4 linked regions of the Drosophila melanogaster genome follow. Changing the gene in region 4 together with the main gene of any one other region gives a genetic interaction. Each region holds a gene or a part of one and is shown on either strand. Other genes may lie near its edges. The genes, in order: sicily, Marf, ND-42 and GLaz.

Region 1 (6,561 bases), on a different chromosome or scaffold from region 4:
TCTGGGTTTACAAAGTTCAATCCAGGAGTGCGAAGAAAGCGCGCCAAAAACTCACCATGCCAAAAGTACGCGTAAAGTAGGCGTTGCAATTTTTCCGGAACTAGCAACCGGAAGCCGGAAACGGGCCCAAAAACAAACGGTGCTTATCTTGTTGAGCGATCGTCGCACTGCTCCGTTCTCATTAATATCCAACACACACTTTCCACATCAATTCTAACATTCATAAAAAACTAAAACTGCGCCTGAAACGCTCTGAAATCAGCTAGCAACTACTGTACCAATCGGGTCTTGCATCGTATCCACCGATACCTTCGTCGGGACGAACCTTTGGTGCACCTGTCATCGATAGTAATTACGTCCCGATTCGAAGCGAGATAGCGATATTCCTGCAACCGTTCTTAACCCATTTCATCCAAAAGATCCCCGATCCGATTCATATTCGTATTCTTATAAACATTGGAAATCCTCTTCTATTGATTCGAGAAAAAGTAAGAGCTCTTATTTTAAAGTGATTTTTATTAAAGAAGTCAACAATGAAGAATTTATTTCGTACTACATACTAACATAATCGCTATCAGAACCGATTAAGCAGCGACTTCCAGAATAAACGTGCTGGCAGTAAGGTGTCGCGGCCTACGCAGCTCTTGTGGGTTAGCCTATAAGATGGGAAAATTATTATATTATTATGGGGATTGATAAAAAGAAGGGTCCGCTCCATGAATACTGAACAACCAACAAACTATAGCTAGGTTTTGAAATAAAGAAGTCTCAATAAAGGCAAATCGTACTTATAACTGGATAAAAATAACATCTTAACTACAAAAAGAAGCTGGTTCTCTCCTGTGTTTGTCGTAATATAAAACAAAGCAATATAAAACAAAGGAACTCACAGGAAGTTGGCACGGCGGAGGCGCTCCAAATATGCATCCGTGGCCACGGCGGAGAGGAAGATCTTGCGCACCTGCGGCGGCACCTTATCGTGCAGCTGCCTGGCGAGCTTTAGGTGCGTATTGGCGGCACTGGCCACATCGAATATACAGTCCTCGACACCCTTGTCGTCGCTCTTAGAGCGAATGATGCGCTCCTGGCTGACGCCATGCAGCACCAGCACCTCGAGCGGAATGCAGGGCGCCTGCTGACGTCCTGCCAGCGGTATCGATCGCAGCAGGGTGGCGATGCCTTGGGCCTTGCCCAAGTGGGAGGCGGCATGATCAGCATTTAGGTCACGCACTCCGCCCACCTCCAACAGCAGGAGCAATAGCGAAGAGAAGGTCTGTTCCGTGTACTCCTCCAGCTCGCGTATCGACTCAAATGCATGCGTGGGCGGACGTTCCCGTGCTGTGACCAGACGGCGCAAATATACCTTATTTAGCTTGCGACTGCCCACCGTGTGCTTCAGTTCGCGCAGGACAGGCTGGTCCTCCACGTACGATCTTTGGGAATCCGGCTCAAAGCACTTGTCTATGGAGTCGTGCCAGAACTTAAGGCGCATTTTGGCTATTTGCGGCTCAATTTGCTGCAAGGATATTTGTCATTATATAAACGATTTTACTGGACAGAAATAAGAAGTTTAAAAACTACGAAGTGTTGCTTATTCTACGAATTTCTCTATCCGTTTTAAAGGAAGGAGAGAAATTATACTCTTGCAGTGTACATAAGAAATTAAGAGATTTGTGAAACCGTTCGAAATGGTAATAATATTCATGAGATGCGGACATAAGCCACTTATGCTTACAATAATATTGATGCGGAGTAACAGAGTCTGAACGGAGTCTGAATTTAAGGCGCCACGTTATTCTAACTTAAAAAATAAGCCCCAAGGAATTTCGATGCTCCACTCACATGGCCGCTAACCGATCTGGAGACCTCCACATTGAATGCCCGTAGGGCGAAGGCAGCACGTCGCAGTTCCCGTGGTAGGAGCAAGGTGCACAGGTAGTTCTCGTAGTCGTATTTCCTGGTTATCCGGAATAGATCCATGTTCAATTATACGGATAACTTCAATCGACAAGTTTGCGCTACTTACTCCACTAGACTCATGCAATGTTTGGCCCCGTATCCATTCTTGTCCGCCTCAATCACTTTCTTTTCCCTGGGAATCGCATTGGTCTTGGCCTCCTGGTGAATTCCGGCATGGCTGACAATTTCTTGGCCGGATTTGGCGTTAAATAACAATCGGCAATTCCAATTTCGCACCAGGCGCCGCATCTGTGCTTCTTCTTTCCACCAGACAACTGAACATATGTTCTGAGCGGTGCTGCCAGATCGCACTCGGTCTGTCAGAAAGTTACTACATATGGGGTATTCGCGATTACGCGGAAATTTCATTTGGCGGAAGATTCAAAATGCTGTATGTGACTTGTTGGTAAATTTATAATGCATTATTATAGCTTAGCTTAGGTAGTTTACCATATAAAGCTTAGCTTAGGTATATAAATACATTATCTTCCGTAAATATTGCTTTTTTGCCATGCGTAATCTTCTTGACTTCTTTTCTTTTTGCTGTGAGGCCATTTTTAGACAAGTTATAGCCAAAAAAGCCAACTTGAAAATTGAGTTTTTTGCCAAAAGTAGTTTCCAGATTTTTTGTGAAAAAAATATTCGGTATTTTGATCAAAACATTGAAAATAATGACTCAAATATGGAATGTCATACCTCGTTGAGTTTGTTTTTTAAATCCCAATCGATTTGCATTCAAGTTTGGGAATTCTAGAATTTTTCATTTTTTTGCAAATTTTGATGATGGTACGTACCCCTTACAAAAAATGCGAAAATTTGTCCAAAAATTAATTTTACAAAATCAATTAAAAAGTTAAAGGGATGGTTAGTGTTGATCATAAGGAGTATAAAATGGTAATTCTTTTTGCTGTGAGTCCATTTTTAGTCAAGTTATAGCCACAAAAGCGAACTTAAACATTGAGTTTTTTGCCAAAAATAGTTTCCCAGTTTTCTGTGAAGAAAATAATCGGTATTTTGATCAAAACATTAAAAATAATGACTCAAATATGGAATGTCATACCTCGTTGAGTTTGTTTTTTAAATCCCAATCGATTTGCATTCAAGTTTGGGAATTCTAGGATTTTTCATTTTTTTGCAAATTTTGATGATGGTACCCCTTACAAAAAATGTGAAAATTTGGCCAAAAATTAATTTTACAAAATCCGTTTTAAAGTGATAGGGGTTGTTAGTATTGGTCATAAGGAGTATAAAATGGTAATTCTTTTTGCTCTGTGACCATTTTTAGACAAGTTATAGCCAAAAAAGCCAACTTGAAAATTGAGTTTTTTGCCAAAAGTAGTTTCCAGATTTTTTGTGAAAAAAATATTCGGTATTTTGATCAAAACATTGAAAATAATGACTCAAATATGGAATGTCATACCTCGTTGAGTTTGTTTTTTAAATCCCAATCGATTTGCATTCAAGTTTGGGAATTCTAGAATTTTTCATTTTTTTGCAAATTTTGATGATGGTACCCCTTACAAAAAATGCGAAAATTTGTCCAAAAATTAATTTTACAAAATCCGTTTTAAAGTGATAGGGGTTGTTAGTATTGGTCATAAGGAGTATAAAATGGTAATTATTTTTGCTCTGTGACCATTTTTAGACAAGTTATAGCCAAAAGAGCCAACTTGAAAATTGAGTTTTTTGCCAAAAGTAGTTCCCAGATTTTTTGTGAAAAAAATATTCGGTATTTTGATCAAAACATTGAAAATAATGACTCAAATATGGAATGTCATACCTCGTTGAGTTTGTTTTTTAAATCCCAATCGATTTGCATTCAAGTTTGGGAATTCTAGGATTTTTCATTTTTTTGCAAATTTTGATGATGTTACCCCTTACAAAAAATGTGAAAATTTGGCCAAAAATTAATTTTACAAAATCCGTTTTAAAGTGATAGGGGTTGTTAGTATTGGTCATAAGGAGTATAAAATGGTAATTCTTTTTGCTCTGTGACCATTTTTAGACAAGTTATAGCCAAAAAAGCCAACTTGAAAATTGAGTTTTTTGCCAAAAGTAGTTTCCAGATTTTTTGTGAAAAAAATATTCGGTATTTTGATCAAAACATTGAAAATAATGACTCAAATATGGAAAGTCATACCTCGTTGAGTTTGTTTTTTAAATCCCAATCGATTTGCATTCAAGTTTGGGAATTCTAGAATTTTTCATTTTTTTGCAAATTTTGATGATGGTACCCCTTACAAAAAATGCGAAAATTTGTCCAAAAATTAATTTTACAAAATCCGTTTTAAAGTGATAGGGGTTGTTAGTATTGGTCATAAGGAGTATAAAATGGTAATTATTTTTGCTCTGTGACCATTTTTAGACAAGTTATAGCCAAAAGAGCCAACTTGAAAATTGAGTTTTTTGCCAAAAGTAGTTCCCAGATTTTTTGTGAAAAAAATATTCGGTATTTTGATCAAAACATTGAAAATAATGACTCAAATATGGAATGTCATACCTCGTTGAGTTTGTTTTTTAAATCCCAATCGATTTGCATTCAAGTTTGGGAATTCTAGGATTTTTCATTTTTTTGCAAATTTTGATGATGTTACCCCTTACAAAAAATGTGAAAATTTGGCCAAAAATTAATTTTACAAAATCCGTTTTAAAGTGATAGGGGTTGTTAGTATTGGTCATAAGGAGTATAAAATGGTAATTCTTTTTGCTCTGTGACCATTTTTAGACAAGTTATAGCCAAAAAAGCCAACTTGAAAATTGAGTTTTTTGCCAAAAGTAGTTTCCAGATTTTTTGTGAAAAAAATATTCGGTATTTTGATCAAAACATTGAAAATAATGACTCAAATATGGAATGTCATACATCGTTGAGTTTGTTTTTTAAATTCCAATCGATTTGCATTCAAGTTTGGGAATTCTAGGATTTTTCATTTTTTTGCAAATTTTGATGATGGTACCCCTTACAAAAAATGCGAAAATTTTGGCCAAAAATTAATTTTACAAAATCAATTGAAAAGTGAAAGGGGTGGTTAATTATTGAAAATAGAAATAGAGAAATTGTTGCAAAAATAAGTCAAAAGCATCTGAAAGTACGATTCATTGTAAGTTCGGATATTAAAAAGTTTATTGTTTGTATGATTGTATGTATGTATTGTATTGCATTGTATGTATGATTGCATATTTTGAATTTTCTCAATTAATCAAAATCATTATGACTAAAACATAGCTTTAATATAAACGGTAAACAAAAACCTATCTATTTTAATTGCCGCATCACAGAGGTGAGTTGGATTATTTATTGGAGCATTTTGGTTAAGCAGCTCAGCCGCAGCATCCTCCGGCATTGCAGGATTGGGAGGGGGGCGGAATGCGCCCAATTCGTCGATTAGGCCTTAATCCACCTCCGCGATAACCGCTACCGCCTCCGCCTCCGCCACCGCCTCCGCCGCCACCGCCTCCGCCGCCACCACCACCGCCCCCTCCGCCCCAGCTACTACTTCCCCATCCATTTCCTCGACGGGAGTTATCTCCGTTGCTATCATTTCCAGTGAATGGAGACAGGAACGATGCAAGCCTGAAAGGAGGGATATGGGTTAAGGAATCCTAAGCTCTTAACACCCATTTAGCACTCACAACTGTTTGACGGCGAACCATATACCCACGAATGTGTCCAAAACTCGTCTCAAGTCCCATGGACGTTTCTCCCACAGACGACCATCTGCAAAACGAAGGGCTTAGCATTCTGGAGATCATATGCTCATTCACTTGCACTTACTTTGATCGACGTACGCCATTTTAAAGCTAAATTAGCATGCAATATCTTTTGTTTCTTTCAAATATTTCCAGATCTGGGCCGAAGCTGAATATTTTGATTTGTTTGTGTATAAAAAAAAAAATTGACGTGGTGTTTAGAGATGGACAAGCAAAGCAGCTGATGATACAACAAATATCGCATAGCCTACGCTGATGTCGATAGTCTCATATGTTGAAATAAATACATTTTTGAATTTAAAAAACATTTTTTATGAACTCATTAAAACAGAGCTTTTGCAAAAGTTATGGTTGGTATTTATTTATGTATTTCACCAGAATAACTATGTATTCCTATTTGGGTACTGTGACTTCGAATTTGCAATTGTAAATTAACGAATATAAACCCGCAGACCGATAGAAAAAAACCTGTAGCTATGTATTGGAGCTAATAGTTGATAAATGGAACCGACGACGGCCACGAAGCAGCGACCCAGGAATCAGTGGTTAATCGTAATCAGCAATTGCCCGCTCGAGTTCGAGTTTAAGACAACTGCGTCATAAGCGCCACATGGGCGGGATAAACCGTGATATCTGGGTCATTCAGGGTGCTGCTATACACGACCAGCCTTCTGTCGGCGCGACATCCTCCCAAGAGTCTTGGGAACCGGATGTCGCTACTATCCTCATCCGCCTCCAGCGGGCATATTGCAGCTCATAGTCGGCTGAATGCGGCCGATCCGGCGGTTTGGTCTTAGTCCACCTGATCCTGATCCAGGTCTTCCTCCTCCACCGCCGCCACCACCTCCGCCGCCGCCGCCCCATCCTCCACCGCCACCCCATCCATTTCCGCGA
Region 2 (9,299 bases), on a different chromosome or scaffold from region 4:
CCAAGGTGTACGGATTCTTTGACGAGTGCTTCAGCAAGTACGGCAATGCCAATGGCTGGAAATACTGCTGCAAGGTCTTCGATTTGCTTACCATCGCTGCCGTGAGTTGAACTATGGGATACTTCATGTGGACAACACCCTTTTAATCATTTACATATATGTTTACCCCACTGCCCCTAATGTACACAGATCATCGACGAGGAGGTGTTGTGCGTGCACGGTGGCCTGAGTCCCGAGATCATTACACTGGACCAGATCAGGACGATCGATCGCAACGGCGAGATACCGTACAAGGGTGCCTTCTGCGATCTGGTGTGGTCCGATCCCGAGGACATGGAGTACTGGGGCCAGAGTCCGCGCGGCGCTGGCTGGCTGTTTGGCCACAATGTGACCAAGGACTTTATGGCGATCAATAATCTGAACCTCATATGCCGAGCACATCAGCTGGTCAACGAGGGCATCAAGTATATGTTTGATGGCAAACTGGTGACCGTGTGGTCGGCGCCAAACTATTGCTATCGCTGCGGCAACGTTGCCGCCATTCTTAGCTTCGAAACGGCGGAGAAGCGGCAGACGAAGATCTTCCTGGCTGTTCCGGATGCGGAGCGTGTGATACCCAAGCAGAACACAACGCCCTACTTCCTGTAAAACGTTCTGATGTGATGCGATGTGAAGTGATGCAACGCAATACTATACCACATACCATACCACATACCGATCCAATACGATCCGCCCACTGTTCCGGCATCGTGGCTAATAATCATATACGCTTGTGGAGAGCAGAGCGGAGTGCAGCCTTCGACTGACTGATCCGTTTCATTTGACCACCCATGAACTCAACGCCTTAAACTCAAAACGTGCGCAACGAGCACCCCAAGCATAGCAAACACTCAGAACAGCAAACACAAGCCACACACACCACACACACACCTGTAACTTGTAATTTTCGTCTCTTTTTTTGTATGGCAAAAACACATATCTAATTCTTAAGAGCACAGTTAAAAAAAAACTTTGTTATTAGTTTCCGGCAAGTCCAAAGAGAGGGGAACACGTGAATTGATTTCTTTAAGTTGTATATCCAAGTATTGTATTTACTGATAACGGATGCTAATGGAAGCAAGAAGTATATAGAGATTCACTTTGTTATTTTGTATTCCAAACCTACATATTTATTTCTGTGAACAAACACAAAAATCATATACTTTGTACATTTTGTATTAGTAATGCTTTGAAGGAAATAAGAATAACTAAGAATAACCCAATTGTGTGATCCCGATCAAAACGATATGATTAAAACAAAAAAGACAATTCGAAATGCGTTGTCCGGTAATCAGTGGGAAAAACCAGGTGTCCCTTATTCCGCTCCCAAAATGTCCATCATCCGTCTCTGTCGTTTTCGCGACACGGCTCCGATATTCAAAGTTCCACTGAAATAATTTCGATTATGAGTTTCTTACATAAATATCATTTATTTCGTTTCGTTTTCGTTCATGAATCATTCTCATTCTCATGCTTTGCAACATCTCAACAATTGTGTTTTCATATATATTGGTTTGCTTTGCCCCAACATTTATTCTAGCGTCCCAACTCAAAAACAAATATGTATAAGTACTAGACTTTCTATTAGGGGCGAAAAAGAGGTAAATAAGTGAGTGACTTTCGCATTCTGGGGTCGGTCATCATCATGTGGCATTCATAATTCCTCGCAACTTGCTTTTCCATGGCACCTGGCCATGCTCACAGTGTTTTGGATACTTCTCTATTTGTATATATATATACGCGTGCGTTTCCGGGTCAACAATTACAAAAAAAAGAAAACTAAATAATCACACTAGCAGAGTAGTGCATGTTAGGAATTAAAAGAATTCTCAACAACAACAACGATTTGTTTAAACGATAGAGAATAAAGAGGTTCCAATCGATTGGCTCATATCATGCATTTTCTTACAAAAAAAATAAAATAAAAGAGGAGAGAAAAACTGAGAGTTGAGCAGCAAATACGTGGTGCATTAATGTTGTTGTAGTCGTTTGGGTGTTTGTCTTCGCCTGATTTCTATGATCATCCACATTCTGGTTAGTGTTTTGCCCCACGGTCAGCCAACCCACTACTGTTCCACTACTGCGGCGATATATAGTTGTGCTCGAAGATGTCCAGCTCGTTCTGTATGTAGTTGGCCTTGTTGCGAAGCAGCTTCAATTGCTTCTGGTTCGCCTCCAGGATGTTCAGCTGCGAGTCCAGCGTCTTGAGCTCATCATTCATGTCCGTGGTGGCGGTATCAACCGTGCGGCACAAACGGGCAAAGGTGCTCGACAATTCCCTGTTGAGATGTGACAGAGAATATTCGATAAGTGATCAGCGATTCAGACGCTAAGGGATCAATACTCACTGCTGCACTTGGTGGCTGCAGTTGGCCGAGGTGAGGTCGACAATCATCTTGAGCTTCTTGGTGGCATGGCGCACGTACTGCGACTTGAACGTTCGCTCCTTGGCTGAATTTGTCCACGAGAGGCGCTCGTACAGGTAGATGCAGCCGTAGAGGGCACCCACGCCCACCAGGACACGCCAGCCGATAGTTTTCAGCATCTGCAAGTGGTTTGATTTCATCACATAGCTATGCACTATCACCTGCTTGGTCGTTGGTAAGGACAAGAGGTGTTATGATAATTTAACCGTTAACACTTACGACACCGGCTACGACGAGACCACCAACGGTGCCCTGCGATCCAATGGAGGACACCGCGAAGCGTGAGATCAACGACAGCTGCTCGGGCGTAATGCCAGCCACAACGGGAGCGGGCAGCAGGCACACAGGAGTGGCTTCCACGGGCGTCGTGGTCGGCGTCGATACGCTGTGCTGTGAACGAGATTCGATGGCAGAGATATAGTAAAGGTGGTGCAACACAACTATACTGTAGAAACTCACTCCAATACTGCTCTGTCGATTGACCAGCGCCGGCTGGCCCTTCTTGCTGCGCTCGCGCACCTTGCCGGTGAAGCGCTGGATCATCGCCGCAATGCCCCAGCTGAACTTAAACTCCAGATCCTCCTGGAAGTCGGCGCAGAGGTTCTGGCAATTCAGTGAGTAGAGCATCTCGAAGGGCTGCGTGCGCACCACCATCTTGGTGCTGGTGGCCAGGAGCTGCTCGTTGGGCACCAGGGCGTGCATGCGATCGGTCATCTCCGTCTGGGCGGACTCGACGTTCATGGCCAGGGCCATGGATAGGCGGGCGCGCAGATTGCTGCCCAGGCCGCTCTCCACATGGGCATTCAATTCCTTTTTGTAGATGTTCAGCACCAAACGCTCCGGATGGAAGGGCATATTGAACTCGTCAATGAGTACGCCCAGGCGCCAGATCTCCTCGTTCAGCGCCTTTGACACCTTCTCCTCCACCTCCTCGACCATGTTGTGGATCTTCATCTTCATTTCCCGCGTAACCTGCATCATCTGCGTCTCTGTGCCCTGGATGCGTTCGGTGAGCAGGTTCTTCTGGTCCTGCTTCAGATTGCGGAATATGGTGATCCGCTCGTAAATGTTGTCCAACATTGATTTCATGTCACCCGAAACACTCTTGCCGCGCGAACTGTGCTGCTGGAACTTTGTTTTCACAGCACTCTGCGAGATGCACTCCTCGAACTTGCGCTCGAAGTCCTGGAACTCGAAGTAGCGTATCTGAAAGCCCTCGGCAATGGCACCCATGTGCGGCGGATTGCCCTTGGCCTCCTCGATGCGCGCCTGCAGCGTTTCCCTGGCGGAAACGAAGAATACCCTTTCGGCCGCCTCCTTCTCGTTGCTCACCTTTAGCTCCTTGGTGAGGAAGTCGATGCAGCGTTCCGTGTGCTGAGACTTAACCTATCAATTGATGAAATAAGCGTCTTAGAAAGTGCATAGATCAATCAATCAGGGCAACTAAGTAAGCTGCTTTGGGAAGAGTCAACAAGGAGGTGTTCATCGGTTCAATTCGATAAAGAGACCAAAGCAGAGTGGATTGGGTTTTTGTGGGACCAAGCAAGCGGGTCTAGCTCATTCATTACCTTAGCCAATTCCTGGCGTTGATTACAGTGGATAGTTGGTTGGTTGTTTGATAGATTGATTGGTTGGTTGGGTAATAAACAAAAACAAAAGACACACATCAACATAGAGAGACAACAGGCATACGAAGAGGTCCAAGAAATTACTTATGAGATGTGGCAGTGCAAAACTGCTGGCAAACGAACATATGTACACATATGTGGCATATGGTTCGCCTGCCATGTAATGGTAATGCAGGGTCTGACAGAGATTGTGGACTAACTAAAGGGGCCGCCTAGAAGATCATACCGATTCCTGGCACTCGGGCTCGTTGGCCGACGCATCCCAGCGATTGTTCAGGATGAAGATGTTCGGCTTGCTTAGCTTCTGCGAGACGGTGTGAAAGAACTGCTTCTCCGCACGCGTCATCGTTGACTCGGCATTCAGGACCAGCACAAAGACATCGGCGTTCAGGCAATGGTTATCGATCCAGTCGTCCAAATTGGCCGACACATCCACACCAGGTGAGTCCACAAAGACGACATCGTCGCGCAGCAGGCTGCAGCGTTCCCTCGGCCAAAAGATGCGCACCAAACTGCTCTCGCAGAGCTTCTCCTGGCACAAGGCATTCGCCAGTTGTTTGATGTTCTGCAAACAAGGGTCACTAGGTCATTAGGCGAAACACATTTCCCAGAGGAGAGCTGAGTAGCCCACTTACCACCACATTTAGCTTCTCCTCGGAGCCCTCTGTCATAAGATACGCCTCGCCGCCATTGCTGCCCTCCACTTGGCAGAAGCAATTCGTGGTGTGCCCAATGCCGCTGGGCAGGATCTTCTCGCGCAACATGGCATTAATCACCGAGCTCTTGCCGTTGGAGGTGCGTCCAAAGAAGGCCACCTTCATGTGATCCCGCTGCAGTACTTCGCGAATGGCCGCCACCTTGTACACATAGCTTTCGAACAGCTCCCGTTCCGCCTTGTCCACGATCTCCGCTTCCGCGTGCAGGGCTGAAAGAGCAACGAACATTGGTTTAACTGGGTATTTCGCCAAAGGCAATAGATGTTAGATAAGAATCAAAATTTCACCATTTCCCTTGTAAAACGATGAACTGAATCATAATCGTTCTTATCGAATACCATGCAACATAGAGGTTCAAGGATTGGCTTCTGTTGGGTATTTTAAAAATATAATACATAACTCACCGTTGATAAAGGTGGTCGTCTCATGGACATACTCCTCGATCTCGCCGTAGATATCGTTGATCTTCTTTTTGGCGCGCACAAAGATCTGGAGCGGTGATTTGTCGTTGGATTGATAGAGCCGCGATTCCGGTAGCAGATTGGCGGCCATTGTGGAGCCGGATTGTTGCAGCGATGAGTTGAACCGGGATAGCGGGGAACCGGGTCCGGATTTGTCCACCGTGTCCGTGGAGGAGGCGTGACGGTCGTCGTCGGCGGGGCCCGTTTGCCCGGTCACCATCGAGATGGTGCGGTTCAAGTAGGCCGCCATTTCGGGATCCGGTTTATGGTTGATTCGGTTTAGCAGATGGTTTTTTGGTAGAAGAAGAGAATTGCGATACAAAACAAAAGGTATGCAGCCCAGGGGATTTGGTTGTTCAGACTTCCAACTTCTGCAACTTCGCCGCCAACCCGAAACTCAAAACTTAACTATCTCTGTTTATTGTGTGTTATATTGCTTTTGGGGGTATTTGCTCAAAAATCAACGTCATAAAACTGAAACGAAATTAAATGAAAAATTATGACACGAAAGAAAAAACAAAACGATTGAATACAGTGCGCACCAGATAAGCTCAACTTGAGTGGTTTAAGTGTTAAACAAAATGTGCGCTACAAAATCAAGCATGTGTTTGCTAAGTATATCTTAGAGAGAACATAAACTATTGATTTGTTGTTCGCTATGTCGAGAGTGCACTGTATTTGGCGAAAAGGAAAATACCGCAACGCAAATTGCACGCACACACACACACGTGGTCCAATTGCGCTGCAAACAAATATAGGCGAAAAAAGTATAATAATCTAATGTTTTTGGTTTTTCTTTTTTCTGACAATTTACATCTGTGTGCGTAAATCGAGTTGATAAAGTTTAATCTGCCCTCTCGCTCTATCAACTAACCTGATTAATGCCACTCTCGCTCATATTTGTATTTGTTTTATTTTATATTTGTATTTATTTTCCTCTCCGGTTGTTCGATTCTTTTAATTGCTGCCCCTCAGCTGATGCGTTTTCAAATGGCAAATTGTGGAAAGCGTGGTTCGAACTTCCAATAACCGTACATTGCCGACTAGAATCCAGTTGCAGAGAAGCAATTTCACGAAATTTAGTTAATATTATTAATTTTTTTTAAATGCACATGATGTAACGTTAAGGTGACCAACTCATGTTGTTCGCTGACATCCGGCGTTAGTGCATTTTTATGCCTTCCCATGTCTAGTATATTTTTATGCCAGTCGAAAGCTTAATATGGTATTTTTTCAATTCGCTGCCATATTTAATTGAAATTAATTTTTTTCAATTACTACCACCTAGCTTATTTTTATTTTTATTGTCTAATTTAAATTTTGTCTAATTTAAAAATAGAATTTACCCTGACAATGATTTTCACTGATTGGAAATGGTCACACTAGCCAGTTTCCAGTTAGCCAGAATGTAACGGCGCCTTTCCCGCTCCAATTGGAATCCGCGTGTAATTTTGTGTCTCGTGTTAATTGTATTATTTCCCCCGCTTTTCGGATTTCCGCATAAAAAGCGATGAGTCTACAGGACGAGAGTTTTCCGACGGACGAGCTGTTTGACCAGCTGAACAATTTGAGTAGCAGTGGCGCCAGGAATACCTGGTTCGCGGAGCACCATAAGCCCGCAGTCTTCGAGCGGGATACAGCGCCATTTTTGGAGATCTGCTACGCGGATCCAGACTTTGATGCGGATGGGGATGTGGCCAACAAGAGCGCCAAGACATGCGTAAGCGATCCCGTGGGTCGTGATCAGGAGGATGAGGACGACTATGATGAGGATGTCGATGGTAAGAAGTGTTCGCTCTCTCTCTACACTTGCTTAACTACAATGGGAGAAATATTCCCATCAAACATATCTCATATATGTATAATTTTGGTACTTCCATGTCTCGATGTATAATGGGTACTTCATTCAATGGGCACAGTCAATTAGCTAGTGCTAACATGTATCCTTTCTTATTCAACCAGGCGATGATCATAAACTGGGTTGCGAGAAGGCTCCATTGGGCAGCGGGCGCTCCAGCAAGGCGGTCTCTTACCAGGACATCCATTCGGCCTACACGAAGCGCCGCTTCCAGCACGTGACCAGCAAGGTGGGCCAGTACATAGCGGAGATCCAGGCGCAGGACCAAAAGAGACGCAATGTGAAGTTCGCCGGATTCCAGCGAGTGAACTCTATGCCGGAGAGTCTAACGCCCACATTGCAGCAGGTGTATGTCCATGATGGTGACTTCAAGGTGGACAAAAACTGCCAGACTCACTCCAACTCCGATTCGAATTACAATTCCAATTCAAACAACTCTAGCAGCAGCTTTGATCGATTGCTGGCCGAGAACGAGAGCCTGCAGCAAAAGATCAACTCATTGAGAGTAGAAGCGAAGCGTCTGCAGGGCTTCAACGAGTATGTCCAGGAACGACTGGACAGAAAGACAGATGATTTTGTGAAGATGAAGTGCAATTTCGAGACCCTGCGCACCGAGCTAAGCGAATGCCAGCAGAAGCTTAGGCGCCAGCAGGACAACTCACAGCACCACTTCATGTACCACATTCGATCGGCGACCAGTGCCAAGGCCACTCAAACGGATTTCCTGGTGGACACCATACCCGCCTCCGGAAACGTCCTGGTCACACCCCATCCCCTGGGCGACCTGACCTACAACAGCAGCAAAGGATCCATCGAGTTGGCACTGCTCAGTGTGGCGCCTTCTGCCCGAGTGGCCCAGAATCCCGTCCAGGTCCAACGCGCGATTCATCCACAATCTTTGGACTTTAGCAGCGTTAGCACCGAAGCTGATGGCAGCGGTAGTGGTAAGCAATCGCAATGCTATTTTATTAGATCTGTAGATTATTTCGAATAAGATTGACTAACATGGATTTTTGTTGGTTTCTATTCAAGGCGAACATCGTGTGGAAACCTCATCCAGGGCCTTGGTCAGAAGAACCCCGGCGCCCAACAACTCGGAAACCAGCCAGCCGAGCAGCAACGACTCGGCCATCGAGGTGGAGGCGCACGAGGAGGAGCGACCCAGCTCCAGGCGGCAGTGGGAACAACAGGGGGAGCTCATCTCGCCCAGGCAATGGGGCCAGCATGAGGGCATGTACTACTTTGACAAGCGCAACAACCGAGTCATCGAGGTGATGGGCTTCAATATCAGTCAGGGGCGCAATCAGAGCCATGACACCATTCATAATCAGAGCATCAACGATAGTCAGACGCGTCTGCTGGTCCACTCGATGTCGATGTCGCATTTGGAGGCGCATGACCACTTTAGGAGTAAAAGGACGACACTGGGCAGTCGGATGCTACGATTCCTGGGGCCCTGCGTTCGCTGCCGTAATGGTGATCCATTGAACCGCAGCAATGTCACATACAAGGATGGTTTGCCTGCGATGCCCGAGGAGGAGTTCGTTGACCAAAGGAACCAGCGCTAGTCCAGCCTTCCACCATCCACTTTTATTTATTTATTGTATGTATTATCATATCCTGTTATTTTATGTCGCGTTATGTCGATTCAATTAGTCCAAATTTTTAATGCCATAGCATTCAGTTAACCAATATGTGCATGTATAACCAAATTTGAAATTCGTTAGTAACTTTCCTCCAAAGGAAAATAATCTTTTTGGCGAATTGTGTAGTGAAACGTATTATTTATTTCTATCCAAGCAAATTTGTACTTGTTTTAATAAAAAAATTTTGCACACTTGCATTTATATCCGATTTGTTCGGGTTGATATATCATGTATTGAAATCATGTGAATCCCATGCAGATTCAGTTACATTGACAGTGGCTGCTTTGCGACTTCGGCCACACTGGCAGTTTCAATTACGCAGAGCTTCAGCATTCGTCACCAATGTTTCGCACCATTTCGCATTTTTGGAGATCTGCTACGCGGATCCGGACTTTGATGCGGATGTGGCCAACAAGAGCGCCAAGACATGCGTAAGCGATCCCGTGGGTCGCGATCAGGAGGATGAGGACGACTATGATGGGGATGTCGATGGTAAGAAGCTTTTCCCCCTCCCCATCCCACTCT
Region 3 (5,971 bases), on a different chromosome or scaffold from region 4:
GACCCAGGTTTTCAGATTCAAGTTGTAAACATCCGGCACCAGACTCTTGTGCACCACAGCCGGTCCCAGCGGCAGAAAAGTGTCCATCGACTTGCCCATAAGGAACTGACCACCGTTGCGTTCCTTCTGCCAGTCGCGGGCGGAGATATCCTGGGCCACCGAATACCCGAAGACATAGTCCATGGCCTGCGATTTGGGCACCTGGCGGGCGACCTTGCCAATGACACAGACCAGCTCAACCTCCCAATCGATTTTCTGTGGAATTTTTTTTTGGTCGGTTGGTTATCTCGATGAGCCTATCTCTTGTTATCTCTTGCTTCACTTACGCTGCTGGCCGCATGAGCGATGACATTATCTTGAGGACCCACCAGGGCATTGTTAAACTTGCTAAAGAACAATGGTTCCTTGGGGGTCGGCTTGTTCTGCTCATCGCAGTGGTCCTGGTAGTTCAGACCTGCAAGCAGATCGAGAATACGTCATTTTGAAGGTCAGGGTCCAACTACATATGTTTATACATATGTATGTTAATTCATTCTTTACCAATGCAGATGATCTTGCCGGGATCGGTAAGAGGCGGCAGCAAAGTGACATCATCATTCACCTCGAGTCGCGGCTGCTTTTCGGCCTTCTTCGCCAGTTCCTCCAGATTGGGATCCTGGGCAATCAGGATCTTTAGATCGCTGGGCACACCCTCCAAGCCGGCAAATTCCACCAGCGACTTTTGATCCTCGGACAGTAGACCAAGTCGCTTGGCCAAGTCACCTTTTCGCAGGTATTGAACGAACCTCATTCTGGCAGCTTGCATTTATGACTGATTTACGTCGAACGAATCTATCGCGGCTATCCAATTAACGCTCCAGTGGCCAAACTCGAATCTCACGTAATGAGGGCACCAGCAATCAGTTAAAGAATTTACACGCGCTTTTCAACACTGCCAGACATTAACCCCCTGAAGCCGCAGGTGTTAGAAAAGCATCATACATATAAACATACATATAATGTTATGGGTTGCATATCAACTTTTTATCAGAAAATGTATGTTAAAAAAGTTAAGAAACGTCTAAAGTTATATTCTATTTACTATACATTTTTTAAATTTGTAGTAATGATAAAAAAGTAGTAAACGTATTTTTATAATTTCGCAATCATTTTAAAGAGCATATAAATAAAATATAAAACTAAAGATTAAGAAAAAAAATTTTTACAGGCATTTTGAACAGATGAGAATTCTGCATATACATAAGTATATCAATAAAAAAAAACTTTAATTAATATATTCCTCCACAATGCTATCAACTCGTTACTGGATAATTCGAAATCCTTAAAAGGATTTAAGTAAAGAATAAAATAAAAAGCAAAACCACATTCGAATTTTGGTGTTCAGAAGTCAAGATTCAACATTTATTTAAAGAGAGGGCTCAACATCGTTTCGCTTCGCAGCGTCTTAAACGCATTTAACCAAACTCCCTCTTCCATCCATTCGATAACTTAAGCCGATTTTGTACCTATAGCGATCATCTAAATATGCATTCCATCTAGTCGCTACCAGCGGTCACTTTGCCGCCATCCGCGCTGCCAAACTTCTCAAACAGCTCGTACTTCCAGCGCATGTAAGCTACGCGCATTCTGTCCCAAACGTTGTCCACGGAGTCCATGGCTGGGCGCACATCCAGCAGGGCAAAGCGGTAGTCTTTGTCCACCAGTCCACCGTCGTAGTAGTCGATGACGTAGCGCACATCCTTGCCGCAGCGATCGACTATCCAGTCATGCCTATCGAATGGCAGCTCGTATCTGTAAGACAATTCGAACATTAATTCAGGTGAGATCTTCCGTCTGGAGTATACTCACCCCAGCCAGCTGCGGAATCGAGCGCGCGGACTGAAGTCCTTGGCCTTGCCACCGAAACTCTTGAGGCGCGGATTGCCGCATTCCTTGGCGTGAAGCGCCTCCCACTTAAGTACCTCCTGCCAGGCCTGCTCGTTGTTGGCATTGTGGATGCGTATGATGTCGCCCATGTCCTTTTGCGATACGTCCTCGGTCTTCCAGCGCCAGCCCTTGCGTAGCATGGCGTTCCAGAACATCTGTTGGCTGGGATACTGCCAGAATTGAACGCTGCCATCCTCGGTGACTTTGGGAATGGTCGACGTCTGGCGGTCGGTGGGCAGTGGAAAGGGCTGATCTGCCGCCGGCTGTTGGTTTGCCGGTGGCATCATATTCAGCGGATTAACGTCGCTGTTGTCGTGCTGCACCGGACATTCGGAAGCGGCCTGCATCTTGGGATGTGGGGGTACGGCGGAGGCCGATTTTGCATCTCCATGCTTCTGATGCATGGGGCATTCTGGTGGCGGGGCACCACTGCCGCTCATGTACTTGGCGTGGTCCACCGGCACACTCTTCGTGGCCTCCATTTGCACTCGGGTGATGGCTGTATTGCCCATTTCTGCTGGGGATTGGTTAATAACAAAATCTGTGTCACGAGGAAAATCGCATTAGTTCTCAGTTGCGTAACTGTAAGGAGTGGGTTACACTCCCAGTGCTGGGCCCCAACGCCAGGACTTACTCGATCCTAATGGTCACAACTCTCGATATTTGTCGATCTTCTCCTGGAGCCTTTCGCCTTAAATTTTGATTTATATTTTCGTTAGTTCATCGTTAGAACTTTTGAGCCCAAAATGCAGCGAGGTTGTGGTCAGGGCTGCCAGACCAACGGAAAGTGGACCAGTTGTTTCTGCACCGTGACAATATGTTAAGTTAAAAATTTAAAAAATCAACTCGCACCGCACGGCAATGTGAGTTTATGGTGTGTGTCTGTCTACAAATGAAAAGCATTGTTGAATTTATTTCAAGTAAATTAACTTGTAGTTAAACACCCCAGCTGTGCTGTGTAGTGTTGAGCAGTCGCTTTGCGATATTTTTAAAAAGTAAAACAAATACATTTATACATTAAAATGTTATTTTGTAAGTGTTATATAAAGTTTTTAAAATACTGGGTTAAATTTCATTTCATATGAAATTCTTTCTGATTCTGAGAAAAGTCGCAGTTAAAGCATAGACAAACATTTTGATTTTACATTTTTGATATTTGAACGGATACCTTGACAGCCCTATTCGGGGAGTTTTCCAACACCAACCATAGCCCGAAATTTGTTTTTGGGTAGACTTCCGATATTTAGATTGAAAAGTGAGTAAATACCACCGGATAGAGCATTAAAACCGACAATTTGGGTAAATCTATGGAGCGCCGCAATGCTGGCCAGCAGAATGCAACGAAAAGATCCGCATATCTGCAGTTCTAGGGCAGAGATTACCGCACTACCTGCGTAGCTCCTGTGATGTAACCACACGACAAATTGCCACTGGACGAGATATAATTGTTATTATCTTGTTTCGTTTTTGTACTGACCCTTGTTTTCCCTTCAGAATGACCGCCGTGTTCCGCGTAGGACTGGTGCGGCTCGTCAGCCGCGCCACACAGTCGCCCAATCTACTCCAGGCGCAGACGAATGCCCTGCCTGCTGCCTTCCAGCAGCGATGCAGCATCTCCGGCAAGACGATGCGAGGTGGACCACGGGTGCCCAAGGCCGCCCCCTATCCGTACAAGACGAAGAAGTACAGCGTGTTCAATGCTATTTTCGACAAGACCTCCAAGCGTTTTGACGAGAACTCCAAGGTGATCTGTGTGGAGGGACCCATCGCGGCCGGCAAGTCAAAGTTCGCCAAGGAACTGGCTGAGGAGCTGGACATGGAGTACTATCCGGCAGTTGATCTGGACCTAATCTACATCAATTCGTACGGCTATGACATGAGGAAGTTGGATCCTCAGTTGCCGCCCAGCTGCCGAAGCTACGATGTGCGCAACTTCTGCCTGGATCCCAGCCACGATCTGGCTGCCCAGTTCCAGATTCGCATGTACATGCTGCGCTATTCGCAGTACATTGATGCCCTGCAGCACGTCCTTAGCACCGGCCAGGGTGTTGTCCTCGAGCGCAGCCCCTACTCGGACTTTGTCTTCATGGAGGCCATGTTTCGGCAGGGTTATCTGTCACGCGGTGCGCGTTCCGTGTATAATGAGCTCCGACAGAACACCATCGGGGAGCTGCTGAAGCCGCATTTGGTTATCTACTTGGATCTGCCGGTCGATGCCGTGAAGAAGCAGATCAAGGCACGCAATGTGGACTACGAGGTGCAGTCAAAGGTGTTCAGCGATGCCTACTTGAGCGATTTGGAGCAGCTGTACAAGCAGCAGTACCTCAAGGACATCTCCACCCATGCCGAGCTGCTCATCTACGACTGGACAGCCGGCGGTGAGACTGAGGTTGTGGTGGAGGATATCGAACGCATCGACTTCAACCAGTTTGAGGCCGATATTCACAACAAGAAGATGCTCGACTGGCGTTTCCCGCTGGAGGCCGAGTGGTGCGAAGCCCGTATCAAGTACTGCCATGAGAAGCCCGATCTGATGAATTACTTCAATGTGCCGCGTTTCGATGTCCCGGAGCTGGTGCGCAGCGCTGACGACGGCAAAGTCTGGCGTGATGTCTGGTTCAATGTAAGTTCGGTGTTTCCATTTCCCTGTTCGATTTCTTTTCACATTAATTCTGCCCCTTTGCACACAGGCTCCCGGCATGAAGTACCGTCCTGGCTACAATGCAGACATGGGCGACGAGGGTCTCCTCACCAAGACGAAAATAGGCATCAACCAGGGCATCTAGAGGGTTTTTGCTATGCTTTCGAGTTGAAATCACCTGGCGAAATGTGTTAATTATCTAATAAACAGTCTAGTAAAATAATCAGAACCCAATTAGTTAAAAAGCGAATATGGTAAATATCGATTGTAAATACTTTTCATACAACAAAACTCGAACTATTGGGTTTATTTATACTTTTTTTTTAACATAAATTTCGAATTCAGCTTAATCATGAATACCCAAACATATTTCGATCCTCTCCAGTTTCATTGATCAACCAGAGATTAATTTTTTGAAATTTTAAGTTAATTTATGCATTATATTAGGGAATACTTTGTACACATTTAGCACTAAAACTTCAATTGCGCTATGGAACATTTGGGTATTCGTTCTGCCGCGGATACTTCTTAATCGCCGATCAATCGCTGTCGTAATCGTTCTTTCCAGCACCGCCGCCCACAGAGGTGAGCGGTCGCCGTGACTCCTCGTCGGAACCGTAGACAACATCCTCGTCGGAATCGTCGATCATGGAAATAGCCGGATTATCCTTGGTGACAGCCAGCTCCGCCTGGGCGAACCGTCCATCTGGCGAGTACACATACGCCATGGTGTACAGGTAAAAGTTAAGCAGTCCGTAGAAGCACATAAACTGCGCCGAACTGCGATAGGTGGTGTTAAGTGAGGCGACAAAGTTATCCTCCAGGATGCCGAAGCCAAAGCGACACGTCGTCACCGTGATGGATATGGACAGGACGAACAGCATGAGCAGCGTGAGAAACTTCAAGCGCATATCTGGCCAAATGGATTAAGCATTATAATAATAAGATCAGGCTTGGAGCACACTGCATTATGTCTCACCAAAGTACGGCATGGAGCGCAGCTCGGTGTACGCCCGCAGTAGCAACAGCACCAGATAGAGCACATACATGCAGCAGGCGATGTAGAAGAACATCTTGAAGCCCTAAGAATGGTTTGGTTTTCGTATCACATTTCATTAGTACGTATTATGTATACCCACATTGTAGTTTTTCGTATCCACAAAGTGACTGTATGTGGGATCCCTCAGCTCGTTGCATTTCTCCCACGTGGCCAAAACGATGGCGCACAGCCAAATGGGCAGGACGACGATCACCTTGACCAGGTAAAATCGCACGAAGCTGCGCTCGTTCTGTCGCAGTCCATGGTAGATGCACAGCCAAAACATGAGTAGAGCACAAAGGAACGTCGCTTGCAGAATGGCGTCCAGCATTCCAGGCAGCCAGGAGTTCATCAGGAATATCAGC
Region 4 (8,303 bases):
ACTGCATCCAGCACAGCATCGCCGAGAGCGAGTGCAAGGCAATGCTCTAGGGGATTGCCGGAGAAGTGAATGAAATAATCCTTGTCGAACAGAACGATCGTCCGTTGTCCTTGGGGGCAAGCAATAGAAGCGCATGAATACGCCAGGTTGGGTGGAAAAACAATAGAAGGGAATGCCATCATCTTAACACTTGATAATAAGCTTTTGGATCTTTAGTTGTGTATCTCAGCATTGCCGCTTTTGGTTTAGGTCATATAAAATAGTTCTGAATTGCATAAAGGTGGCATTCCTTGACTATCTTTTTTGAGTCTCCCCAGCTCTTATGCATATTGAATTCAATTTTGCACAAGGTGAGATCAGAGGGGCATCTGGTTTGTGATTAAGTTAGTATAAATGACAACTCCATATCTTTAAGAGATAGCTCCGTTACCAAGTCTTTCATTCGATGCTTCCTCACATAACTTTCTTTAATCGATACAGAAACTATTTTGATACACTTATACCCTCTGATCTCTCGATCTCGATCGAATAGTCTGCCACAACGAACGCATCATCAACGTCTCGTATCCATATCTAGTCTGTAGATTAAGTTTATATATATATGCGCATATGTAGATTGCATTTTAATGGGAATATTTTTGACTAGGCTTAAGCACTGCCATCGCAGTCGCACTCCACAAAGATCGCTGATCACTGATCGCTGATCACTGGGTGGACAAACAGGAACCAGACACCGGAGACCATCAAAACAATAAGTTAAATGAGATATGGAATATTTAGAGAACTGTCTACAGCCCGAATTTCTGGGTAACTTTACATAATCTTTGTAACTAAAGCAACGTGTTGATTGTAATTTGTATAAATAAACCATCTATAACCGTATCATATCAGCAGTAGTAGTAATTATAATAGTAATTATCGTAGTAGCAGCGATTATAGGTTGCGGGATAGGGTACGGGAAGAGGAACCGGAAGAACTCCCGCGTATCCAGCGTAGCCGCCATATCGGGCATATCCGCCATATCCGCCATATCCTCCATAGCCTCGAAAGCCGCCTCCTCTAAAGCCTCCGCGGCCTGGTCCACCGAAACCGCCACGACCGAATCCTGGACCACGTCCTCCAAAGCCGCCTCTTCCAAAACCACCTCTTCCTCCTCCGAATCCGCCTCCGCGGCCGCCACCTCCGAAACCTCCAGCATGACCGCCTCCTCCGTGTCCTCCTCCGCCTCCACCTCCTCTCGCATCGGACATATGTGCCTGGGCCACAAGGAAAATCAGACAAAACAAAATCCACAGTCGGGACATCTTATCCGGCCAGAACCTTTTCAATCCGTTGGTAAATCACGACTAAGTTCCGATGACTGGGAAATTCTATTTATTGCAAATTAATTAGGACACCCGCGTTAATTGGCAATGCGGGCATGAGTTCATATATTGAAAACCTCGATCGAGTTACTCTTGTTTTTTGTTTCTGTATTTGCGTTGCTTCGCCTCTCTCCGCCGATTCACACTCCTCGATATCACAGCAGCCTAATTGATTAGGCATCAAATGTAATTTGTTCCTTAACCGAATGAACTTAAACATATAGATGGGGGATGAGACGCTGGAGGAGCTTCCTACAGCGCCTCGGGGCATTGTTTGTTTTTGCTGATGATGAGCCTTTCCGGATCCAGAGAGAGCCGCTTCAACACGTCGTACACTTTGGATCGGATATCCACCTCGAAGTCCCGATCACGTCCAAGAATCCAGATCTGATCGGAGTGACCCAGTGAGCCAATGCTGCCGCAGGACCACAAGATGGCGAAGTTCTCGTAGTCTGTGTATAGCACCTGGTACTTTCCGGAACCTGGCAGTAGTCGGGCAATCACGTCCGGAAATCGGGTGGTAAACTAGGAAAAAGGAATTGTGTATATTGTGTGTTGTTAATATTATTTATTGTAGATACCTTAAAATCCATGATGGAGGATCGGCTGTTTTCTGGTGTTGCATAGCCAATGTTCACATTCGGATTACCAGTTCTAAAAAGGACAAACACTTCTAACACACAATATATATTATTAGATTATTTAATCATACATGCGATTAATGTTTTTAATGGCCACAGCCAGCTTGAAATTGGAAAACTTCGATTGTTCGCCCTTGTTGTACGGCTCAAACTGAAAGGTGGTGCATCCGGAGGCGATTTCCGGAAGGTAAAAAGAGCGCTCTACCTCGTACCAGTGTCCAAGGACCTACAAGATAATGACATTACATAAAATAGATATTTTTACTTCCTTTTCAACATGTTCTTAAGTTCTTAAGTAAGTTGTTTCAGTGAATGGAAATTCTTCTACATATTCCAATTACTTCATTAAATCTGAAGGGTTTTATTGGAAGTAGAATCACCTGATAACCATCAGTCTGAAAGCCAAAACCTTTGTCACGCAGCGTTTCTCTCGGCCAAGAAACACTTAACTGGGTTACTAATCAAAATGCCACTTAGCGCAAACAATGCGTAAAACGTAAACATTTTTGAAACTGGTTATAGACTCGGTTGTGGCTGCTGGTCATTGAGAAGAGCCGCTCTTTTGGCCGCTGCTCATCTTGCAGTTCAAAGTCGGCGGTGGGCGCCGCATCGCATTAAAGAGCCACTGCTGGCCAGTCGAGGTCTTTGCCCCGGGTCAAAAGTGCGTTTAGGGGGCGGGGCCGGTGGCAAATGGCTTAATTTACGCCTGTCAACAACTCAATTGGATGATGTGCCATTTGGAAGTGGAAGTGGAAGTGGAGAGGAGGTCGCTAGACCCACATAATGTGAGTGACAATGCCTCCACCTCAACCGGGCAATTATGGTGCATTATCTTTTATGCAAATCAAGGCTCAATCAATTTAATTTGAGCTGCTTAAGTGATTGTTCCAATTTTCTATCCATGATCTCGACAGTGTATCTAAGCGAACAGTCGTCGGCTTTTATAGCTTAAAACAACTACGTGCATTTATGAGTACTAAACAAAGTCCATTTATGGATTCTCAGAAATACTTTGAAACAATCTTTTTACAGCCACCTGAAACCAATTTTCTAATTTTCTCTTTCGAAAAACATTAGTTTCACATTTGTGATGTCATATCGGTGGTTTGGCAAGATGATTCCATAATTACTTGATTGAAATATTGGCTGTAATAGCGAAATGTTCGCACCAGGAATGTTCCACTGTAGTGCACTTTGTTGTCCTTGGCGTGCCCATGTCTCAGCATTGGTACTGGTTGATTTACTTCTTTATAAAATAAGTGGCTTGTTTACCATCAGCAGGCCATAAAGCTTTTGTGCCGCTCGCCTCCTTCTGTAAAACTGGTTTGCATTTTACACGGCGGATCGGATTTGGTGGCCTTAAAATGGTTCAAGTTCATCATCTGCACAATCCCCAAGATGTAAAGAGGGGTCTTCGTCTGCGCCAGACGCCTTGTGCCAATTAATCGAAGATGTGACACGTTTAAGACGATGGCAAATAGACAGGCGATGAGTGGCCAGTTATACAATGCATCTCGTTGTTGTAAGGACAAACAGTTCTCATATATTCATACTCATAGTTATTTTCATACTCATAAATTCTTTGTAATCTTATAACTGGTGTTACTCAGTGGGTCAATAGACACAGATCTTTAGTAACAGGTTTGAAAGGTGGTTTAATAAAGCCAATTGCAAATATGTATATATAGACTGCAAACAAATGTCTGTATGAATATTTACAACACCCAAACAGGCTGTTAATAAAATAGCGATCGAAATATGTAGCAATTTTAGTTAGAGTTTGTAGAGTATGTATGAGAAAACCAGCAACTAACTTACCCGACTCATGTTAAACTTTGGCATCGATGGATAATTCGGGCAACGTCCAAATCCGTAGGCATCTGTCCCAGCAAATGTCACTAATAGCACTCCGGACAACAGCCAAACCCTCGAGCCAAGTGGCTGGCCACTCATCATGGTTGCTTCTGATAGTTCACTTTGAATATTTGGCACTTTAGGCGGCAGAATCGGCACTCCAGCACCTAACTAAACTGTGTGGAATTCGAAATCAGGCAATTTCCATTGAACTCGACCGTTTTAACTTGGCTGTGCACAAAGCGGTGATTTCCGATACGACGGGTTCACTTGGCCAACGAACTATGGATCGTCATGAACCAACTACATATACATTTCCTCAAAGGTACACCATGTCCGTCCATTAGTATTCCGGATGGGATGTGTGCGATAATGGAACGTGCTGGCTACCGGCTTAGTGGAGCAAGCCGGACCGAATTGGTAGGTCCCGCAAAGAAGAAGAAGTAAAGTGATGTGATGTGAGGTGAAGTGAAGTGAAAACCACTAACTGGGTTGGCGCGGCGCCGTGTTTATTATTGATATTTATTTTGGTTTTTGGCTCGTGCCCGGCCAGCGAGTTACGTAAAAGAAAAGCCAACGTCAAAATGCAGCTCGAAAACTGGTTGCTCCACCGATTTTCGCACACACCAAGAGATACTTATTGCGCATTGCAAAAAGCGGGTAAAAGCGAAAATACCTAATCGAGGAAATACTGCGCTGGGATGCATCAATTGTGTCATGGAGTTAGTCGGGTGCATTGCTCGATTTATCTGCGAAAGTGGGCATGGTGTAGACATGGTAGCTTCATTCGAGCGCATCAAGTTCAAGAGAAATAGGAAGTGGCTTTTCTTTGCGCTATTTCGGTTTGCCATTATCGCATGGGCAATGCTAACTATAACTATTTGATTGATAGATAGTGATGTGAAAGGTACTTTGATTGGTAGCTACATAGTATAGTTCATCAGTATCAGTTGGCAATTATTTAATAATATTGTAATTTAAGACGAAATGGAACTTGATAAAAATGATTATGTATATTTTAAATACAATCGTGACTTTGAAAGAAGTATTTCCTTGGGTCTAATTGAATAGTGATATAGGTAAATAGTAAATAATTATATGAAATGCAATAGAATTTACTATATATTAAAACAAGGACATTTGCAAGGAAGAGTGAATACTTGTACCTAGACTAGATCGCGACACATAGCGTAAATTGTTGTATCTAGACTACCAGCCAGGTACACCCAAATATACACTTCCCATCACTGCCAATAGAAAAAAGTGTTAATTTCACAGAAAACGACAGCCGCAAGTGGCTGAAAATAAACCAAGGCAATTGCAAAATACTCTTGTTGTCCAGCTGATTTCACTTTGTGCACATACAAGTATCCGTTTCGATTCGCGTGTAATGTGATAAAGTTTTCTTGCAAAATGCAGAACTAACTATATCTCTTTGTTTACATCGGCTTTTTGCGGTGTTCTTTGTCTTCTCGCGGTTTTTATCTCGCGAACTCGAATTTCAGATGGCGCCAGTAACGCGGCTCATTCACATCGGTTGACCGATCGCAGCAGCAGTTCAATGGAAACTGAATGGATCGGCGGTTTGAATTGAATTCGATTTCGTTATTTCCCACCGCACGGTCACACTGCGATCGCTGCTCTGCCTATCGATATAAAATAGTAATCGATCATATATTTGAAATGATAACTAGAAAAGAACCGTTACGTAGCAAGTTTATTTGAGTTCAGTATCATAAAAATATTGATAAAATCTAGGTAATTTTTAATAAAAATTTAAAATCTGTTGTAACTTGTTGTATTTTGTTGTTAGCGAGTCAGCTCGGTGGGACAGGTCAGTGGGACACGTCAGCGGAACAGGTCGGTGGGTCAGATCGGCGGGACAGGTCGGTGGGGCAGGTGGGCGGGACAGGTCGACAGGACCAGGTTTTTGAATAACAAAAAATAAATAAAAACGTCCCCTAGTTCCATATTCCACTGTTCCTCCATCGCCGCCAATTTGGCGCACATCTTAAAGATATCCGCGTATTGGTATTTTTTAGTACATTCGTTCATCCATCTGTTTCGGCGGATATTTCACGCATTTTGCCTATAGTTAACTGAGTTTTGTGGTGAGTGCTCGATTTAAATGGATATTTAATGTAAGAGAATGTTGGAGAAGGGCGTGGTTGCACATTTTTCGCCCACTGGCAATTAGCCTATGTCAGCATACACACCCAATTGAAAAGATTTCCGTACCGTATGGTCGAATGCTTCAATTCTACATATGTATGGGGCATACCCGCGATAAGAAAGCGTCGGCTAGATGACACATAACTTCAGGGAATTAAGGCGGTTTCAATTGATTTTTCACAGAAAGGGCACGGAACCAGACTGTCAAAATGGTGGCCATCCAATTGTTCAACGAAATCGGCAGTATTTTCCGAAACGTAAGTTTGCATTCGCCTTTTTCACCACATTTAGCTTACTCCAGTTTCTACTCCTTCCACAGACCCCCACGTTTGCTCTCGTCTTGGAGACCCTACTGCTCATAACCGTGATTTGGTTGCTGCTCCACAGACGAGGAGGAGGTCGTCGCCGACAGCTGACCAAGGAGGAGGAAGACCGAATAATCGCCGACTATGAACCAGAGCCCTTGGTGGCCGACACCGATCCCAATCATCCCCTGCTGCACACCCGCGTTGTGCAGTCCAGGGTGGGCAAGCGCATCCAGGTCGATGGACACGACTGCCTAAATCTTGGCTCTCACAACTATCTTGGCTTCCTCGAGGACCAGGAGATACTGGAGGAGGCCTGCAAGTCGCTGCGCAAGTACGGAGTTGGATCTTGCGGACCTCGGGGCTTCTACGGCACTATGGACGTGCATCTGGACCTGGAGGATCGTATTGCCAAGTTCATGGGCCTGGAGGAGGCCATTGTCTATTCCTACGGCTTCTCGACCGTGGCCAGTGCCATTCCGGCGTATGCCAAACGTGGCGACCTTATCTTTGTGTAGGATTGTCTACTTCACCTACTCAGATTGGCGACTAATTACTTGTTATTTGTAGGGATGAGGCTGTCAACTTTGCCATTCAGAAGGGTCTGGATGCTTCACGAAGCACAATCGTTTTCTTTAAGCACAATGACGTTGAGGATCTAGAACGTCTGCTGATTGAGCAAGAAAAACGAGACCAGAAAAATCCGAAAAAGGCGGCTAAGACACGTCGCTTCCTCGTCGCCGAGGGTATCTATATGAATACGGGCGAGATTTGCCCACTTCCCGACCTGGTGGCCTTGCGTCAGAAGTACAAGCTGCGTTTGTTCATCGACGAAAGCATCTCCTTTGGCACATTGGGCCAGGGTGGTCACGGAGTTACGGAGCACTTTAATGTCGATGTAGGTGGTAAACCGGAAAGAAAAACTAAAATTATAACTGGTATTTTTCTTTTAGCGTGATGAAGTCGATCTGATATCGGCCGGCATGGAGGGTTCGATGGCAACAGTCGGTGGCTTCTGTGTTGGCTCGCACTTCATAGCCGAGCACCAGCGCCTCTCTGGCTTGGGCTACATCTTCTCGGCCTCGCTGCCGCCCATGCTCACCCAGGCGGCTATTTCAGCGTTGGATCGTTTCGAACGAGAACCACAAATCTTCGAGCAGCTGCAGGCAAAGTCTAAGACGTTGCACCAGAAGTTTTTGCGATTCAGCAAGCTAACCCTGCGCGGCGATGAGGTGTCACCAGTGAAGCACTTGTATCTTGCCCAGCCCGCCGAGAACTTTGACAAGGAACTGAAACTTCTAACAGAGCTGGCTGATAAGGTAGGCATTTTATTTCCCCATGCAATTATGAAAACTATACATTTCTACTCACTTTTCCCAGTGCATTGCTCGTGGAGTGGCTGTGGTACAGGCTGCCTACCTGCAGAACAGGGAACGCCAACCAGTCCGTCCCAGCATTCGCATTGCTGTCAACCGTTTGCTGGAGAGTTCGGAAATAGACAATGCGTTTGAGGTCATCGAGAGTGTTTCCAGCTCCGTCCTATAAGCCTTGTTGTTGGAAAGGAATGATCTTCTTTCGACAATGGCCTTGCTGTTAAGTTTTAAGGCCTGCTGGCCCCATCATTTTTTCATCACTTCTTCACGACCAGTCCAGTATGAATTGTTTAAGTTAATAGCTAGCCTTGCACTTGCTCTTTGCACTTTGTTGCATTGCATTTTAATGAAAAATTTTAAGTCTAGGAAAACTTTCAAAGATTACACGTTATAGATAACAGAGCTGGTTAAATAAAACTATTAAGTTTATTTGGTAGTTACGTGCCCTTTTATTGGTGTTTCTTATCGCCTGCGCAATCGCAAACGTTTTTGAATATCCCGATAAAGATAAGGGTAATATTATGTGGCATTTGTTGTAAAATTTACAAGAACAACTTCCACAAAGAAACATTCATTATTTATTTATGTTTTTCT

Evidence for each region.
Region 1: of GLaz (region 4) and sicily, changing one suppresses a phenotype caused by changing the other (phenotypic suppression), as found in Drosophila melanogaster (one study listed by BioGRID).
Region 2: of GLaz (region 4) and Marf, changing one suppresses a phenotype caused by changing the other (phenotypic suppression), as found in Drosophila melanogaster (one study listed by BioGRID).
Region 3: of GLaz (region 4) and ND-42, changing one suppresses a phenotype caused by changing the other (phenotypic suppression), as found in Drosophila melanogaster (one study listed by BioGRID).

Annotation. Positions count from the first base shown.
Region 1 is NC_004354.4:11,887,685-11,894,245, reverse strand, and holds sicily (severe impairment of CI with lengthened youth), read right to left. Parts: upstream 2,515-6,561; 5' UTR 2,209-2,514; coding exon 2,027-2,208; intron 1,958-2,026; coding exon 1,843-1,957; intron 1,517-1,842; coding exon 891-1,516; intron 657-890; coding exon 575-656; 3' UTR 501-574; downstream 1-500. Other genes in the region: CG1840 (uncharacterized protein), read right to left, coding at 5,278-5,530, 5,590-5,674, 5,732-5,750. UniProt on the Drosophila melanogaster protein: Involved in the assembly of mitochondrial NADH:ubiquinone oxidoreductase complex (Complex I) at early stages. Interacts with cytosolic Hsp90 to chaperone the Complex I subunit ND-42 in the cytoplasm.
Region 2 is NC_004354.4:6,363,078-6,372,376, reverse strand, and holds Marf (mitochondrial assembly regulatory factor), read right to left. Parts: upstream 6,429-9,299; 5' UTR 6,145-6,428; intron 5,745-6,144; 5' UTR 5,521-5,744; coding exon 5,214-5,520; intron 5,019-5,213; coding exon 4,729-5,018; intron 4,659-4,728; coding exon 4,320-4,658; intron 4,046-4,319; coding exon 4,034-4,045; intron 3,852-4,033; coding exon 2,925-3,851; intron 2,856-2,924; coding exon 2,685-2,855; intron 2,585-2,684; coding exon 2,388-2,584; intron 2,319-2,387; coding exon 2,117-2,318; 3' UTR 1,453-2,116; downstream 1-1,452. Other genes in the region: PpV (protein phosphatase V), read left to right, coding at 1-101, 190-648; swa (swallow), read left to right, coding at 6,781-7,051, 7,233-8,072, 8,161-8,696. UniProt on the Drosophila melanogaster protein: Mitochondrial outer membrane GTPase that mediates mitochondrial clustering and fusion.
Region 3 is NT_033777.3:22,024,600-22,030,570, forward strand, and holds ND-42 (NADH dehydrogenase (ubiquinone) 42 kDa subunit), read left to right. Parts: upstream 1-3,109; 5' UTR 3,110-3,421; coding exon 3,422-4,549; intron 4,550-4,616; coding exon 4,617-4,712; 3' UTR 4,713-4,794; downstream 4,795-5,971. Other genes in the region: CG6028 (uncharacterized protein), read right to left, coding at 1-255, 327-454, 541-805; Cchl (cytochrome c heme lyase), read right to left, coding at 1,536-1,791, 1,849-2,438; CG13409 (uncharacterized protein), read right to left, coding at 5,107-5,480, 5,547-5,649, 5,707-5,971. UniProt on the Drosophila melanogaster protein: Accessory subunit of the mitochondrial membrane respiratory chain NADH dehydrogenase (Complex I), that is believed not to be involved in catalysis. Complex I functions in the transfer of electrons from NADH to the respiratory chain.
Region 4 is NT_033778.4:13,162,601-13,170,903, forward strand, and holds GLaz (glial lazarillo), read right to left. Parts: upstream 5,433-8,303; 5' UTR 5,303-5,432; exon of another isoform or gene 5,189-5,302; intron 4,036-5,188; 5' UTR 3,962-4,035; coding exon 3,824-3,961; intron 2,232-3,823; coding exon 2,077-2,231; intron 2,019-2,076; coding exon 1,946-2,018; intron 1,890-1,945; coding exon 1,617-1,889; 3' UTR 1,359-1,616; downstream 1-1,358. Other genes in the region: Nrk (neurospecific receptor kinase), read left to right, coding at 1-50; CG15870 (uncharacterized protein), read right to left, coding at 872-1,243; Spt-I (serine palmitoyltransferase subunit I), read left to right, coding at 6,241-6,288, 6,351-6,850, 6,907-7,234, 7,290-7,655, 7,717-7,881.